2 linked regions of the Rhinolophus ferrumequinum genome follow. The protein of the gene in region 1 interacts with the protein of each later gene in a pairwise test. Links are inferred from orthologs where the notes say so. Each region holds a gene or a part of one and is shown on either strand. Other genes may lie near its edges.

What was found.
Region 2: the proteins of SMARCE1 (region 1) and MEOX2 interact in binary tests that used the Homo sapiens proteins (3 or more experiments, as listed by UniProt). The two-hybrid records come from large-scale screens. The link is inferred for Rhinolophus ferrumequinum from reciprocal best matches to the Homo sapiens genes SMARCE1 and MEOX2.

The regions. Positions count from the first base shown.
Region 1 is NC_046304.1:36,993,329-37,001,210, reverse strand, and holds the start of SMARCE1 (SWI/SNF-related matrix-associated actin-dependent regulator of chromatin subfamily E member 1), read left to right. Parts: upstream 1-4,869; 5' UTR 4,870-5,298; intron 5,299-7,273; 5' UTR 7,274-7,318; coding exon 7,319-7,325; intron 7,326-7,500; coding exon 7,501-7,544; intron 7,545-7,882. UniProt on the Homo sapiens protein: Involved in transcriptional activation and repression of select genes by chromatin remodeling (alteration of DNA-nucleosome topology).
Region 2 is NC_046303.1:23,143,270-23,151,163, reverse strand, and holds the start of MEOX2 (homeobox protein MOX-2), read right to left. Parts: upstream 3,003-7,894; 5' UTR 2,723-3,002; coding exon 2,209-2,722; intron 1-2,208. UniProt on the Homo sapiens protein: Mesodermal transcription factor that plays a key role in somitogenesis and somitogenesis and limb muscle differentiation. Required during limb development for normal appendicular muscle formation and for the normal regulation of myogenic genes.

The DNA of each region.
Region 1 (7,882 bases):
GCAGTAGCAATTTCTCTCTCTTTCTCTCCCCCACCACTTTATTTCTACTTTAAAAAGTATATTTTAACCAGAAGAAAATTATGCTAAATAATCTTTAACGTAATACAGGGATATAAAGTTAACTTTTTTTTTTTTTCAATCACTTCAGATTTCTTTTGGCCTGGCTTATTCTATTTAGTGAGAGGGATGATTTTGTTGTCAAGGATACAACAGCATGTTAAGTGCTTATTCTTGCATAAGCATCTTACCTAAAATACATCCTATACATAAAAATGTTTTCATTCAATACTAGTTAAATGTTGCTAACTTTATTAAAGCTTTGACAAAGGCAATCATACAAGCTATTGTAGTAAAGTTACTGTACTTAGCAACAGTAATCATAACAATGTAATATATCTTGGCGATATGCAGTGTTAACTTAGTACTGGCATCATGAATGTAACAGCTTATTATAGTAATTCCACTGTGCAGCTAGTGTATGTAACATGTACATTTTGAAATATAGTACTTGAATTTATAACAGTTTTATTTGCTTTGGGGCATTTTAAATTGGGATATGAATTTACCAGAGTAAATGATACCACCACAATAAAAAAAAAATTGTAACATGAACTCTAAAGCTGCATTGTATTTGAGTTTGATACACTGTTTTGAGTTAAATTGTTCCAATATGGTTAGTTCACATGGGGAATGTAACCACGGTGGAAAGACAATGTTTTTATACCTTTTCTAACAAAAGAAAAATTAAGAATGGTATATTCTAATAAATAATATATTCTAATAAAAAAATCAAAATAATCCCATCATCCTGGGAAAAGTATGACAGTAGCCACCATTTGCAGAGTGCTAACACAATTGTACTCAGCATACTTGTACATAATCACTAATCGTCATAACAATCCTACAAGATGCTCAATATTGTCATTTTATGGATGAATAGAAATTAATATTCTTCCATCTCTCTGGAAGAGTGAAAATGCATGCTTCTGTAACAAAATACAAAAATAAAGAGTAATTCCAATTACTAACAATTACAGGATCCCAGCCCCGGTTCTGTCACTAATTATCCATGGAACCAGGAAGGAATCATTGAAATTCCCTAGGCCTCAATTTTTATACTTGAAAACAAAGGGAAAGGTGGTGCTTGGTAATAATCTTACTCTGCCTACTTCGTAGAGTCGTTTGAAATAATACGTAAGTGAAAATATTTGGCAAAGCACTACTCAAATATACAGTACTATCTGAATAAGAATTATCATAGGGAGAGAAGAATTTGTGAGAACAATTATATATAATGCTGACAATGATTAAGTAATAGTTTAAAACACAACAGGTAATGAGAATATTTTAATTCTTCATTTGCTGCCAGAAGGGTTATTCTTTCCCAGTGAGTTACCCAATTTGAACAGTTCTACCATGATAGTTTTTAAAGTACAAAAATGTTCTCTAGAGTCAAAAAATGCTTAAATTAATTTGAAAGTTTCAAATGGAAATGTATTATGGTACATGGGTCAAAATTAAACTTTAGTTAAATATAAATAATATTCATACACGTTACTCAGATTACCAACATGTGAAATCAAAGGAAAGTTTGTGCACAGGGCAGAAATTGTTTCTGTGTTTACAAGTTATGGCCAGCATGTACACACAGATTGCCATATTCATGGGCATACTACAAATAAACATTTTGAAGTAACATATATGTGCAAATCGATACAAGCCTTTCCCCAGGTTCCCTTACACACGTAGACCCTAGACCCGGGTAGGCAAACTTTGGGCAGTACCATCCCTGTACCAACTATACTAGTTACAACTAATAAAAGCTGTACAACTAGGTACAACTAATAAAATTCCAAAAACAGAAGGCAGCTCGGCTCTGGCCTGCAGTTTGCCCACACCTGCCTGCCCTAGACCTTCAAATAAGGCGTGTGGGTGATAGATTATACCCCAGATTCTGCAGGACCATCCTGTTTCCAAACACTTTCATTCTTTTCCACACCACATGTCAAAGCCCACATCCTAGATCCTTAAGATATTTTTAAGGCAATGCAAAAGATTGTAAAAGCAAACCCTATTTTGTCCAATTCTAAAAAACACTGTGAATCACTCTGTCCTGGAAATCTGCTGGCCTTCAATATTTCACAACTATGTATAGCAATAGAAACTGAATACCCTGTTTTCATAGAAACAGCTGAGAAAATTAGCCTATTTCACCATTTTGCCTATAACCAAACTTTTGTAAGCTATTTGGCTCAGACAGAGCCAAATTTTAAGGGGGAAAAAATCCATTTAAATAAGCTTCATTGGAACATACTACAGACAAAATGCATGATTCAGTGGTTGGTTCAAAACCTTTCTCAACACACAGACCTCTTTGAGAATCTGTTCAATTACTATCTGGGGGAAAAAAGCATATAAAAAGTGTGCATAATTTTAAAAGTTCATAGATTTCGTAAAACCTATTCATGGACTGCAGGTTTTTCCTTGTTCTCTCCCATTTTTTCCTTTTTCTTTCTTCCTTCCTAGTCATGGTTCTCTACCTACCTCCAAGTCTGTCTCCCTCCCCAGCTTCTTCCCAGTCCTATAGAAAGAAATTGGAGACCTGGGCCTGAATCCCAGCTTAATCACTTACTAGTTTTGGCTTCCCTGTTTTGGGGGAAGAAGAACTTCAAGAAAGTATGAGTAGTGTCAGAAAGGAAAGGAGGCCGAGTTCCTGGACCTTGCTGCCAGAAACAAAACTAAACTACTTGGGCCTAAGACTATCTCTGGGGTTTACCACTAGGCCCCTGTGAGGGCTCCTAACAACCTTTATAGTTACAATAGTTTAAAGTCATATTAATGATGCATCCCATATTTTCCAGGATTAATCATGATTCCAAAAGTCTGTCTTGTGGTCCCCATAAATATTCCTGTACATGCAATATCGTATGTCCTGAGTTTGCTTTGGGGAAAAAAAAAAAAACCAAACCTCAGTGTAAGTAGAGTCTACCTAGGATTATTTCACTCTTAAGTCTAATTTCTTCAGGACTGGGGAAGAGATTTCTTTGTTTCTATTATATTTTGCCTATATTCTTCCTTTCTAAATTTTGCCAATCTTCAGGAGTGGAGAAAGGATCAAACGAAGAAAATGAGATAACCATTTATTCATTCCACAAATACTGAGCACTTGAATGTGCCATGTAGTGTTCCAGATGTCAAAAGTCGCCACCCTCAAGGAGCTTTCATTTTGATGGGGAAAAAAGACAAGAAAATAAATGCATAACGAATATAGCATGTTCGGTGGTGATTAGTGCTATACAAACTAACAAAGCACAGACCATGAACAGAGTGCAGGTTGAGGGAATGAACTGCAATTTTAAATAGGTCAGGAAAGACCTACTGAGGTGATATATGAGTAAAGATGAGGAGGTGAGAGAGTATATCAATGTCACTGCTCCACTCAGGTCTCCTCCTTTCCTTTTCCACCATTTTCGTGCCACCCGTTTCCCAGTGCAGTGTGCTTTGTTCCCAACATCCAACACCCGCAGCCCTTCTTCAGAGGATGCCTAGAGATGACACAACATAGCACCAAGCCTCGCAGGGCCCTTGCCCCATCCTTCCGCCATAACCCCAAAAGCAGGAAGAAACCAGCTGGAGTTGCTGGATGAGGCCAGAGAAAGGAGGTACTGGGGTCCCTGCTGAGGCCTTCCTGTATCTTACATTAATCCTTTACGTCTCTGATGCTTTTATATTAAAAAAGCAACTTCATGTACACAATCTCAAGCACCAGACTGCCTGTTTGTTATCCTTTGATGATCTCTTGCAATCTTTCCCTTCCACACTCTCTTTAACTAATTTCTATGTATGCCTATAAAAATATTGGAAGTGGAAGACTCAGACAGGGTTTCACTTGTCCCAGTCTTTACAAACTTCTAGAGATGCCCCGGTCATTGCTGGCACACCCCAGATGGTGGCAAAGGGCAGCCCAAGAATTCACTAAGTCACTCAAAATGTCAACACTGTTTTCAAATAATTACAGGTCAGGGAGCCCATCTGTTCCTTCTTCCTCCACAGTGGCCCACAGTGGCCAGGTGTTTATACATCCAAGGAAGGGGCTACTAATTGGCAAACCAACCTACTCATGATTTAGTAGAAAGAGCCCTGGACTAGACCAGAAAGCTGCCTCAATACACTTTTTATTGAGCATCTAACAATGGGTCAAGCCCTTAGCAGGCACTGGTAATAGCAAGATGACCAATGCAGATGGCTGTACTTTTGCTTTCAAGACACTCAGAATGCACGGGAGATGACAAACACACTCCGCTACCTACAGCGGATCAGGTACAGACTACAATAAATTGTAGAAGAATCATGATGGTGGAGAGAAAGGATTATAGGGGGTCGGGAGGGCAGGGGGGCATCACAACGAGGCCTATGAGCTGGATTCAGAAAGACAGATGAGTTTAAGCTGAAAGTGGGGGACAGTCTTTCCTGGCGGAGGGAACGGAATGAGCCAAGACAGCGTTGGACACAGACTAGTGGCACCGCGGGCGCTCCAAGGGCACCCAAGCTGGAGCAAGAGGATCAGCATCTCTGGGCTTTGGCTCAGAAACCCGAGGCAATTGCACCAGCCAGACTCGCATTTGGAAACACTGAAAAGCCCGTGTTGCTGTTCGCCGAGGCTAATGCCCGGCCGTTCAAGAAGGAAGCCCTACGAGAAGCCCGTGGGGACGGAAATTCCGCGAACCGAGCGCTCCGCGCCTCCATCCTCGGCTTGCTTAGGTATACGCTCCCGCTCACAGAGAAGGAGGAAAGAAAAAGACCGGAAAGCAAAACGCGTGGAGGCGGGCGCGGCCAGCGCGGACTCAGTGGTTCCGGGGCCTCGCTCCTGGGCGACTCCCGCAGTCTTCCGGCCCCGCGCGCGCGGAGCCGAGGCCGTGGCTCCCACCCACCCGGCGCAGCTCCGCACCTCCCGCCGCGTCGCCCGCTGCCGCTGCAGCTCCTCGCGGCCGCGGAAGCCAGGCCTCTCCGGCTGTCGGGCCCCCTCCGCCCTCTCCGCCGTGACGAATCGGCGTCCAGCTGGGAAAATACCCAAACTCGGCGTTTTAAGGAAAGCCTCAAAAAAATCTTTGACTGTACGAAGCATCAGCACGTCCTCAGTAGAAGGTTTATTTTTGTAAAGAAAGTCGGGTGGGGCCTGGACAGAAATTACGAAGAGTGTTGAAAGTGCGAGTGCGGAAGCTCGGGACGCGAGGGGCGGGGCGTGTGCGGGACAAAGGGAAGCGAGGCCGGAGCTGCCGGCGCTTTTTCTGCCCGCGGGTGAGTGTTTCCGACTGGGCGCCAGTGGATCTGGAGGGTGGCAAGTCGTGGTGTTCGGGCTTGGCTGGACTCCGAGTCCCCGGGGGTTGCTGGGGCTCAGGCTTGGCCGCGGGGCCAGAGCTGGGGGCCGGTTGCGGCCTCCCTGAGGCCTAGCGGAGCGAGGGTTGGGAGGGAGCCCCATCTGGGTTCCCTCCTCCGCGGCAAGATTTGCCCCTTCCATTAACCCCGCGAAATTGGTCAAAGCAGCTATGTATACCCCGCTTTAATGGAATTGCTGGTAACGTGCATCCTCCACAACAAATCTAAAGATCCTCAGGGAGCCCTCGGGACGAGCCAAGCCCGTGGTCCTCACCCCCCAGAATGTGGTTTCCCTTTGGTTCAGGCAGCAACCTGAGGACTCACGGTCCTAGAGTGGCGTAAAGAGCGAAAGCTCTGCAACGGTTTGGCCTCGGTTTGAAACCCAAACCTGTCTCTTCCTGGCTGTGTGTTTTTTTTGAGAAGTCATTTAAACTCGAGGAGACTCCCTCTTTTCATCTGTAAAATGGGAATAACAGTGCATATCTTGTTGATAGTTGTAATTATTAAACGAGATAGTGTAAGTAATTAGCCTGTCCCGTATAAAGTATCCAACAAATACTTATCTCGTATTTTATGCCAGGCACTGGGGACGGATCCAGTGGTAGACAAGCCTGCTCTTAGAATTTATGGTATAGCAAAGGAGAATAATAATTTTAAAGAATTAACAATGAGTGATGTACCAAGGAGCTTGTGGAGGTTACTGTCAGGGCAAGGCCTGCTGGATATTGACAGCTCCCTGAATGTGAGCAGGAAGGAAATCTGCACCAGAGCCAATGGTTTCTCCCTGTTCCTTAAGGAAAGAGGAAGAGACCCAGGTTAGGCTATTGAGAAAATAAACTACAGTGTTTCTTTCCACCGCAGGCCTCTTTTATTCTTTATGCTCCAGGGAATTCCCTGAAAATGCAAAATAGAAGCAAAATCGTGTTTGGGTCACGTAATGTTGGATGCAAGTACTCTGGTAGTCATGGAAGTTACTTGCCTTTTTTCTAAAAATGAATGTGTGTGCCTGTTCGCACTGTGGGATGTATATTGACAGCAGGAACAAGCTCACATATGTATGGTAATACTAGGACAAAATTTATTAAGAATTGAGCTAGGTACTGGGACTCCAATAATCAATTAGATGGTCCCTAATCCAGGCAGCACACAATCTAGCCATATTAACAGGTATTATGTGATATAATAATAGCAGAGATGTATATGAATTGAGCAGGAGTACAGATTAGGAAACAGTTCTGCCAAGGTAATTAATCAAGAAAGCGCCACTGAGGAGGTATGTTTTGAAATGGGATGTGAAGGGTTAATAGGAGTTTGTCAAGTAGATTCTCAGAATTTATTCCCAGCAATTATAAAGCTATTTACCACTGTAAGAAAATGTAAAGCCCATTAGCATACCGTTACATTACCTTTCGCACTGCCTGGAGGAGTAAAACACACTGCGCCATTTTTATAGTTGTTACTCTTAACGGAGGGGAGAGCAGCTACTCTACTGATCAGGGAGCTGTCAGTATCTGATAGGCCTTGTTGGGGTGGGCCCTGACGATACATCACATTCTATTGTCATTATATTTTTATCAGTCTGATTAATGTGTACATGGCATCCACAAAATGTTTTCCCATACAAGAGGTGGCTCAGTGGCATAAGAAACAACTTGCACGTACATGCCTAATACTACTTTTAATATCCCTATCGTAATTTGTTTTAGTAGTTTAATTCTGATCATCCAAATGAACTAAAGAACTAGTAAAATATGCAAAAGGCTTGGTTACTAGAAGATAATGTAATTTTACTAAGAAATACCAATTAAATTACCCTATTCTTTAGGAAAACATTCTCTTATGCTTGCTGAGTTTTGATTCTCTTTTTTTTTCTTTTTTTTCCTTTTTGTTGTTTTAGTGTCTCAGATTCATTCTTAAGGAACTGAGAACTTAATCTTCCAAAATGTCAAGTAAGTTTCATTTTTTATATTTATCAATCTATATTAATAAGAGACTAATGCCCTAGCAAATGGGAATTCCAAAATACTCTCATTTTTTTTCTTCAAAACAGGACCATTGGTAGTTTTGTTGCATAGTATTATATCTCAGTTGTTTACAAGAAGTTATTTATTTTCTTTCAAACAGAAAGACCATCTTATGCCCCACCTCCCACCCCAGCTCCTGCAACAGTAAGTTTTAATTTTCTTGTTAATGTAATAGCCAAGTCTGGCCTTGATACAAAAACCCAAATGTCTTCCAGGAACAGTCACTCAATCATCACAGCAACAGGATGAAAAATTCAGCTAAAAAACAGCACTTCCTACTAAATAAAATAACTCTTTGCATCTTACCTTGAACCAACCCCAACATTTAAAGAAACATACTACTGAAATGCCAACCTCCTATGCTCAGTTCTTTTTTTTAATAGGAAATAAGTAACAAGTTTTAACACTTCTTTCTTGTTGATCTCTATTAAGAGTCTTTAAAGTTGACACTGAATGAATGCTCATTCTGGCATTTATTATTT
Region 2 (7,894 bases), on another chromosome or scaffold:
CCAACAAATATTAATTAACTCAAATAATGAAATTGCAAATTAAATTTTATTTTCATTAACTAGACATATTTTTACATTATATAGATTTTTAACTAGACACTATTGTGATATTTCCTTTTAGTTAGTCAAAATTTCTTTCAAAATATCTCATCAAAGAAAACACTCATTCTTCCTCCCCAGTGATTCTATCCTTGGTGATAACTAACCGTGTTTCCCACTTAAGATGTAATCTTAATATTTTATGTAGTTGACGCAAACTTTTGTGTTTGTTTATTTTTCCAGTACTCTAATTATTCATTGTTATATTAATTTGGTTATTTCCCACCAACGGAGAGCAAAACTATTGATATAACCAATGTTCTTAAGAAAGTTGTTATTAAAATAATTTAAGGGAAACAGTTCTTAGATCCCACTTTTTCTGTTTCCTCCCAACCAAAATAACACGTGTCTATATGAAAATTCAGTTTGCCCTAAGAAAGTTAGGTACAGTGGTGCAGTTCAGGAAGCAGAAGGAACAATCCATCACACAGATTTCTCATTGCAGAAAGTAAAATGAACAGTAAGAGCTTCTTGATAATTGCAAAAGTGCACTGACCAATCCGAACTCGGCTCTGTTTCCAAAAGCAGTTTTATTGCTATCAAATTTTGAGTCTATGAAAGGATCACTACATTCTAAAATTGACTTATTTTCTAATGAAGAAGGAAAATTGCTTGCTATGATTAACCTTTCAACTTTGTCTTAAGAGTTTTACTTATGGTTAGTAAAAACCATTAAATATGAGTGATACCGCTGGTAACTTTCTCAGATATAAGCTAATTTGCGAGTCAAGCATTAAAAGTTCACCTTTGACCTTGGCAAGTAAAAGTTAGATTTCCCATAACTAACGGTGAAGAACAATTGATAGCATTGCTGCAAAGGAACCTGAAATGTGCGGCTGAATCATTGTCATTTAACGAGGAATCGTACCTAAAGAATTATAAAGCATAAACATGTCGTCAATCCTTCAAACCAATATTTGGAATTACCTTCTAGGACTGTTAAACCAATTCCGCAAAGGTAGAAAAATATGTAAATACTATATTAAACAAATGACACCTTCCAAAAAGACGGAACTCAGGTTGCGCTATAGCTGCAGAAGAAAACTCGGAACCCCCTTAATTGTGAAGCATCTTTTAACAATTTCATAATGAGACACCTAGGTAAGGGCTTTTCGGAAGTAACCTGGAAAACTTTAGTTTCTCTGGATTGCTACAGTTTCCTTGGCGACTGTGCCTTCAAGCATCCGCGTTCAGCAAGGTTCCCCTTTTGCGTGGCTATTCAATTGATCCCCACGTAGATGAGCGCCTCCTGCGCGCACCCGTGAATACCAGCCTCAGAGATGCAGCGAACTTGCACTACTGGGGTTGCTGTTTGTTTCCCAGTACTTGTCTCCGATAATTCTCAATTGGAAGAGAATATCACTTTCCACCTTTGAAATTCAGATTCTCTCTTAAGACTAGTACCACACCAATGCAATTACTATTAAGACTCGTCTTTCTTCAAGAGTCTGAGCATGTATTTATTTACAATTCTCTGATACGTTCTTTAAAATCCTTTGAATTCCTACATTAGGTCTTCTTCCCCAAGAAAGGGAAATTTTTACCATTTGGAATAGGTACTATTTAAAGTACTCTGAAATCAGAAATAAAAAATAAATAAATAAATAAACTTTTTTTTTCTCATACTCTCTGCCAAGTTCCATTGCAAGTTCCAAATATTGTGCAATAATTTGGAAATCCGGTTAACGATGGGAAAAATCGAGCCACTCAGAGTCGGGAATTTGCAAGGGAAAAAGTCAAGGAGCGACACCCGCACGCACGCTCAGCGAACGCTGCATCCCAGGGTGCACTCCTCTCCCTATCGCTCAGAGGGAAAGTCACGCTTCTCAATCGATTTCACATACTGTCACTTGTCCTTTTTTTTTCTTTTCTCAATACTCTGGTAAACCACTTTGAACCTTGGAGAGGTTTCTGCTGTTGGCTACAGTGTTGCGCTCGGAGAAACACGTGTCCCCCAATAACAGGACCAAAGCAGCCTCACGGAATTTAGCGGCGGGAAGCCAGAAAGGGCAAGACCTGCGCCGTCTTTCCTGCTGCCTCACTATTGAGAGAGAATCTTCCTGGACATCTCTCCGCCCCTTTCGCCCAAGGTGCCCGTCGCGCCCTTACCTGAGCTATCGCTTTTCCTCTTGCCGCCACTTCTCTTCTCCGCCTCCGCGGGTGACAGCGCCTGGCGGCCGTAGTCCCCCGGCGCGCACGCGGCCCCGGTCGGGGTGCTGGAACCCAAGCTGGAAGAGTTGGAACACAGGACTGGCGGGCTGCTCCCCATCTCCGGGGGCCCTCCCGAGTCCGGCTGGAGGCAGAGACTGTGCCGAGCCGCGCTCGGGGGGGAGGACATCTGCGGGAGGTGCCAGTTGGTTTGCAGAGCTTGGTGCTGCTGCTGCTGGTGGTGGTGGTGATGGTGATGATGGTGGTGGTGGTGGCCCCTGTGATGTTGGCTGGCGAACATGCCCTCCTCGTTGGGGTATCCCGCGATTATGCAAGACGAGGAAGAAGTGGAGAGCTCGGGATAGGACATATGGTCAGATCTTCCATGGAGGGCGAGAGAGGACTGGGAGAACGGGTGCAAGCCTTGCGCGGTGGCGTGAGGGCTGCGCAGGCAGCCAAAGAGCGGGTGTTCCATAGCATGCAAGTCTCGGGTTCCAGGCAGAAGACTTCACGACGGTTCCAAACGCCACCACCTTCTGTCACTTTTCACTGGACACCGTGTGACTTTTCCCCCTCCCAGAGCAATAGCCGCCCGCGTTTCTGCAGAGCTCTGATAATCCCGGTCCTGAGCCCTAGTGGCCAGTCTCCTTTACATATAAACACTCTGACCTGAAGGAGCTTCCCTCTGAGCTACTCAGATGTCAAGAGTAGGAGAGGTTGAAGCCAAAAGAAGGTGGTCCCAGAGAACTGCTTTCAGGGGGAAACGGCTCTGAGAGGTTATAAATAGAGTGTAATGTGAGCTGGGGGCTGGCTTAGGAGCCCAGCGCTGACCACATGCAAACTCCCTCCAAAACTCCGGCTCAGTCTGAGAGCCACGCGCTCCCAGTTCCACTTCCTAACCCGCTGGACTCACTCAGCGAGTCCACGCCCGCCCGCCCCTGTCGGCCGCCAGGCGTGCAAGCGGCGCGCCGGGCGCCTGAACCCGAGCCGCGGGGCAGCGGCTCGCCTCCCCCGGCGCGGGCGGCAAAGGCGCGCGGCGGTGCACGCCAGCCACAGCCCCTCACCCGGTGCCCAGCGCGCTCGCTTCTCTCAGTAAAGGTGTCTTGTCAGTGCCACTTGGACACTGTCACCTGCGGGAAAGATAGGGTTACGCCTAGCTCTTGAGGAGCACGAAAGGGAGCTAGTTTGGCTTCGCGTTTCCTCATGTCCTGGGCGCAGTGGCGCGCCTAACTTTTTGCAGGTGGTGTTTGTGGGTGCGTTGATAATGGGTTCGGACACCAGATCCGAAGTTGCAGGGATGTGCCCGGCGGGCGGGAAATAGCCATTCTGAATGCGGAAAGGAGAGATCTATTGGCGGCGGGGATTGGGGGGTAGGTAGCACCGGGCAGGACAGCTGCAGATGTCCAGGCTCTGGCAGTGTCACCTGCGGTGCCAGGTGGGGTCTCTTCTCCCCTGCTTACCTCAAATGCCTTGTCCCCTGCTTTCCTGGTCCCGGTGAATTTCCTAGTCACGTGTCCACTAAGAACTGTCCCTGGGTCAGGAATATTCCAAAGCGACTTCGTCCCGGTCACATGAGATGTGTATATTGCACGCACATTTCCAATCTTTCCCCTTAGGAGCCAGCCCATGTCCCATCATATACCTCCAGAAATCCACCCTCTCCGGTCAAAAATAAATCAGCTGATAGCACCCCTTGCCCCTCTCCGGCTCTGGTCGTGGTTCCATTTACTGAGAAATATTACATTTTGATAGCCCCCGCCTCCCTTAAGTTCAGTAAATTGGGAATTTTATATCTACCTGGTTAATCTTGCATCATAGAAAATGAGTTAGAAAACTTGCCACCAATGAATTAGCGCGAGCGACAGCTGGACTTTGATTCTGCCACTTGAGAGGCGACATTGTCTGCTGGGGGCAGAGTCCTTTACACGAGGCAAGCAAGCCCCGGTAACGAGCTGCAGGAACAGTCGAGTCCTGCCTGGGACAGGTCGCATCAGGAGAATATCCGTGCTCACCTATCCCGCCCAAGACCCGGAATGTGAATGTGCCACCAGCAGCGTCGCCTCCTTATTTTCATTGTCTCTGGTGTCCCGAGGATGGGGAACAGGTCTTTGAAGTTGTTAATGGGGTTAATGGGGACAGCAAACTAGGCCGGCCATCTGTTTTGAATTAGGGCAAAAGTATTGATTAATCTTTGAGAAGTGTTCCCAAGGCAGGACCTTTTCCCTCGCCCAGTCCCTCAGGCTTTCAGTCTATCTCCCTTTTCTTTTAAGTCGTACAGCAGAATAGTGGCTTCGCAATAAACCTTTACATTCGTGTGAAAGTTCGAATTGTTTTCCATGGCTTAGAGGTGGGACAGGGAGGGGGTGATCAGGAATTCTGAGATTTGTAAGTGCTGCTTTCTTTAACGGAAATTGAGCCCTATTTTGAGGGAAATTAGTTTTGCAGACTTCGTTAAAAAAAAAAAAAAAAAAAAAGCTAAAACTTTTGTTCACCAGCTGCTCAGCTTTTCAGTCTGGGTCTGAGCTGGAACCTGCTGCAAGCATTTGACGGTAAGACTTTCTTTGCCGATATTTTGGGAATCTAATATTGTTTTAGACTTCGAAAGGGGGTGTTCTTCAGGTTGCACGTTTCTAAGGGTTTTAAGCACTCACAGGATGGCGTCCAGAGCTTAGATCTTAAGAATGTTTCTTCCTGCCACTCCCCATGCCCTTGGCTCTTTAAGGATAAAAAAGGAGGGGGTATATTCTTCTAATATTGTCGGAATATTTTTTGAATTTTCATTGTGTTTATGGTTTCAATATGTGCCCTGATATTAAAAGTTGAAGTACAAAGGGCAACACTAAACTTCCCAAACTCGGATGGCTCCTCCATGGATTCTGGGTGAAAGCATTAAAGGCTTTATCCAGAGAGAAATTTAGGCAACCACCTCCATAAACAGTAACCAGAAATATTTACATAATACAGTGCTGTCTACTAAAAGCATTGTGGAAAATGTCAGGCAAGACTAAAGATACACTTGATCTGCAGACATCAATAAAAAACACCCATAAAGGTCCTTTTGGTTTGCATTATAGTGGTTTAGAGAAAGCAAGCAATTGAGAAGTGAATGGATTTGAATTTACCCAGTGTGTTGCAGGTAACTAGCAACTAGCAAAAACACACAAACTTTTCATCTCCAGAAGCTGCCTCTTTTTCTTGAACCTGCCTGGTGACTTTGCTGGCTTTTTTCTCACTCACTGTGTCAGATGTTAACAACATGTCCAGAAATTTCTGTACAGCATGCCTTAGTCAGTCAGCCTCTGGAACTGTGGGGCTAGAAGTATGGGAGAGGAAAAAAAAAAGTAGAAAAGATTAGAAAGGGAAGAGTCTCTGTAAAAGGCACACATTAAAATAAAGCTAACAGGAATAGTCTTTCTAATTGAAGACCCAAAATATATAATATCAGTGAAATTATGGAGTCCATATTTCTAATAAAAAGCATAATATAAGGAAAATGTTATTTGGAAGAGAAAAAAATGTGATTCAAAGGAGAAAGGACTAAAAAAGAGTTCTTGATACACTCCAAAATTAATATGACTTTTTTTCCTCTGAATTTCCAAGTATATATTAATCACCTCATAAGTTTTTTTTCCCCCCAAATTTTCATTGCTTAGGATTATTGGAATACAATAAAACACTGATTTTATTTTCTATACCATAATTTTTTGAAAAATACAATAACAGGAAAAATCCCTAGCATTTCCTATAAAGCTACTTTAGGGTCCACATCAACAAAATCTGATGTTGAAAGTTGCTTTTTCACCTATATCATGAACAATGGTAAAAATCACAAAATTTATTATAGAATTTACATAGCATTAATTTTAAACTATATATAATATAGTATTGATCATATATGTAAAATATACTTGAATTTTCCTGAAAAATATTCTATTAATAACAGTATTTTATGCAAGGTTTGATATCAAGCAGCACATTATAACAAGAGGGTGAATATATGAAAAATGTAAGTTGCTCATCTTTTGTAAGAAACATAATCAAAATTACTTTAAACACATGCTCTTTAAATTTGATAAACACACATACCTATTATTTCTTCTGTTTGAATGAAGTGATATTCAATAATAATGCAAAGATATTTTTAATTAAAATTACTTGAAGTGTAATAGAGCTTAAGCAATGTGAAAACTTTGTTTAAATTTTATTTTCAGAATCATGATTCTTTTGAGTTGCCATTCTTCTGTTCATTTGACATGAGGTATGATGGTAATAAAATATTTAAAATTAAATATGATCATTAGCTACAGATATTATAAACTTTACTTTGCATTTTACCTGCTAAATTTGCCTAGGTAAAATACAGTCATAATATATAAATTTAAGTATGGAAAATTAAATTGAAGCTGGAATTTGTCTCTGAAGGTTTTGCTGAGGATAAAAATATTATTTCTGCTATATTTCTCGAAGAAATAACATGCCCTTGAACTGGTTTTTATGAAATAAAGAATTTTGAAAATATTAATAGATGCTAAATACCCAATAATTTATATGATTTATGATACACTCCTCTTTTTAAAACTAGGAAATTGCCTTTCTCCGTGAATTATGCATTATAAAATTTGAAGAACAATTTTGCTATGGCTAATGCAGGTTATTTAGTGATTCTATATACTGTTCTGATTTTTAAATAACACTTTTTACATAACACTAATTGTTTTCACAAAAAAATTGTTGTGTTTCTATATATACTACAAGAAATGAATACTTAAACATGACTTCTGAAAGTGTAAAATAATATCTAACATATTTTATTTTTATAATTCTATCTCTTCCTACTTTTAGATATATGATTTCTTTCAGAAGTTGGTGATTTTCTTCAATTCAGTTCAAGTGCCATGTAGGAAATAATTTTCAGAAAACTGGAATGAAATACAGATTATGACTGATTTAATTAAAAATTCAAAATACATGCATTTTTCCATAATTCCACTTGCTTTTCACATACATTTTATGAAATTCTAATTATGTGTGTGTAGGGGGAGTGTTAAAATTAGGAAGATGTTGACTACGTTTCAAATTTAAAAACTTCTGATTGAACTTCCTTTTGTTCACCTGTTTTGCCTCCAATTATTGAAGAAAATTTTCTTATATTGATGTACATGGGGAGTAATTACCTCCAATTCCTACATTTTCATTTGCACTCACTTTGTATGTTATTTTCATTAATAAATGTATGCATTGAAATTTTTTACAGTTGAAAATTGACTCCTTTGCATGCCTAACTATAAGATATACAGGTACACTAATGCAAGACAGTTCTATAATGAAATACTATGTTATGTTATATATTCTATACCATGAAACTCATTAGCACTAAGTTTCTGTCCATAATTTAAAGAAAATAAATCATTTATTGCTACCATGTCATAAAAAGAAATGCTATACTTTTAAGTGGATTGAATATATAACAAGTTCATACATTTCTGAGAACAAAAATTCTATCGAAACTAAAGACTGGAATTATAGGTAAAACCTTAGTCTTATGTTTTAAGTTTTCTAAATTGAAGACTTTAATATAACTAATGTAATTGTGGCACTCTGGAAGATTATTCTTACATGTTTTTATTTTTCATGCTTCATCAATTTG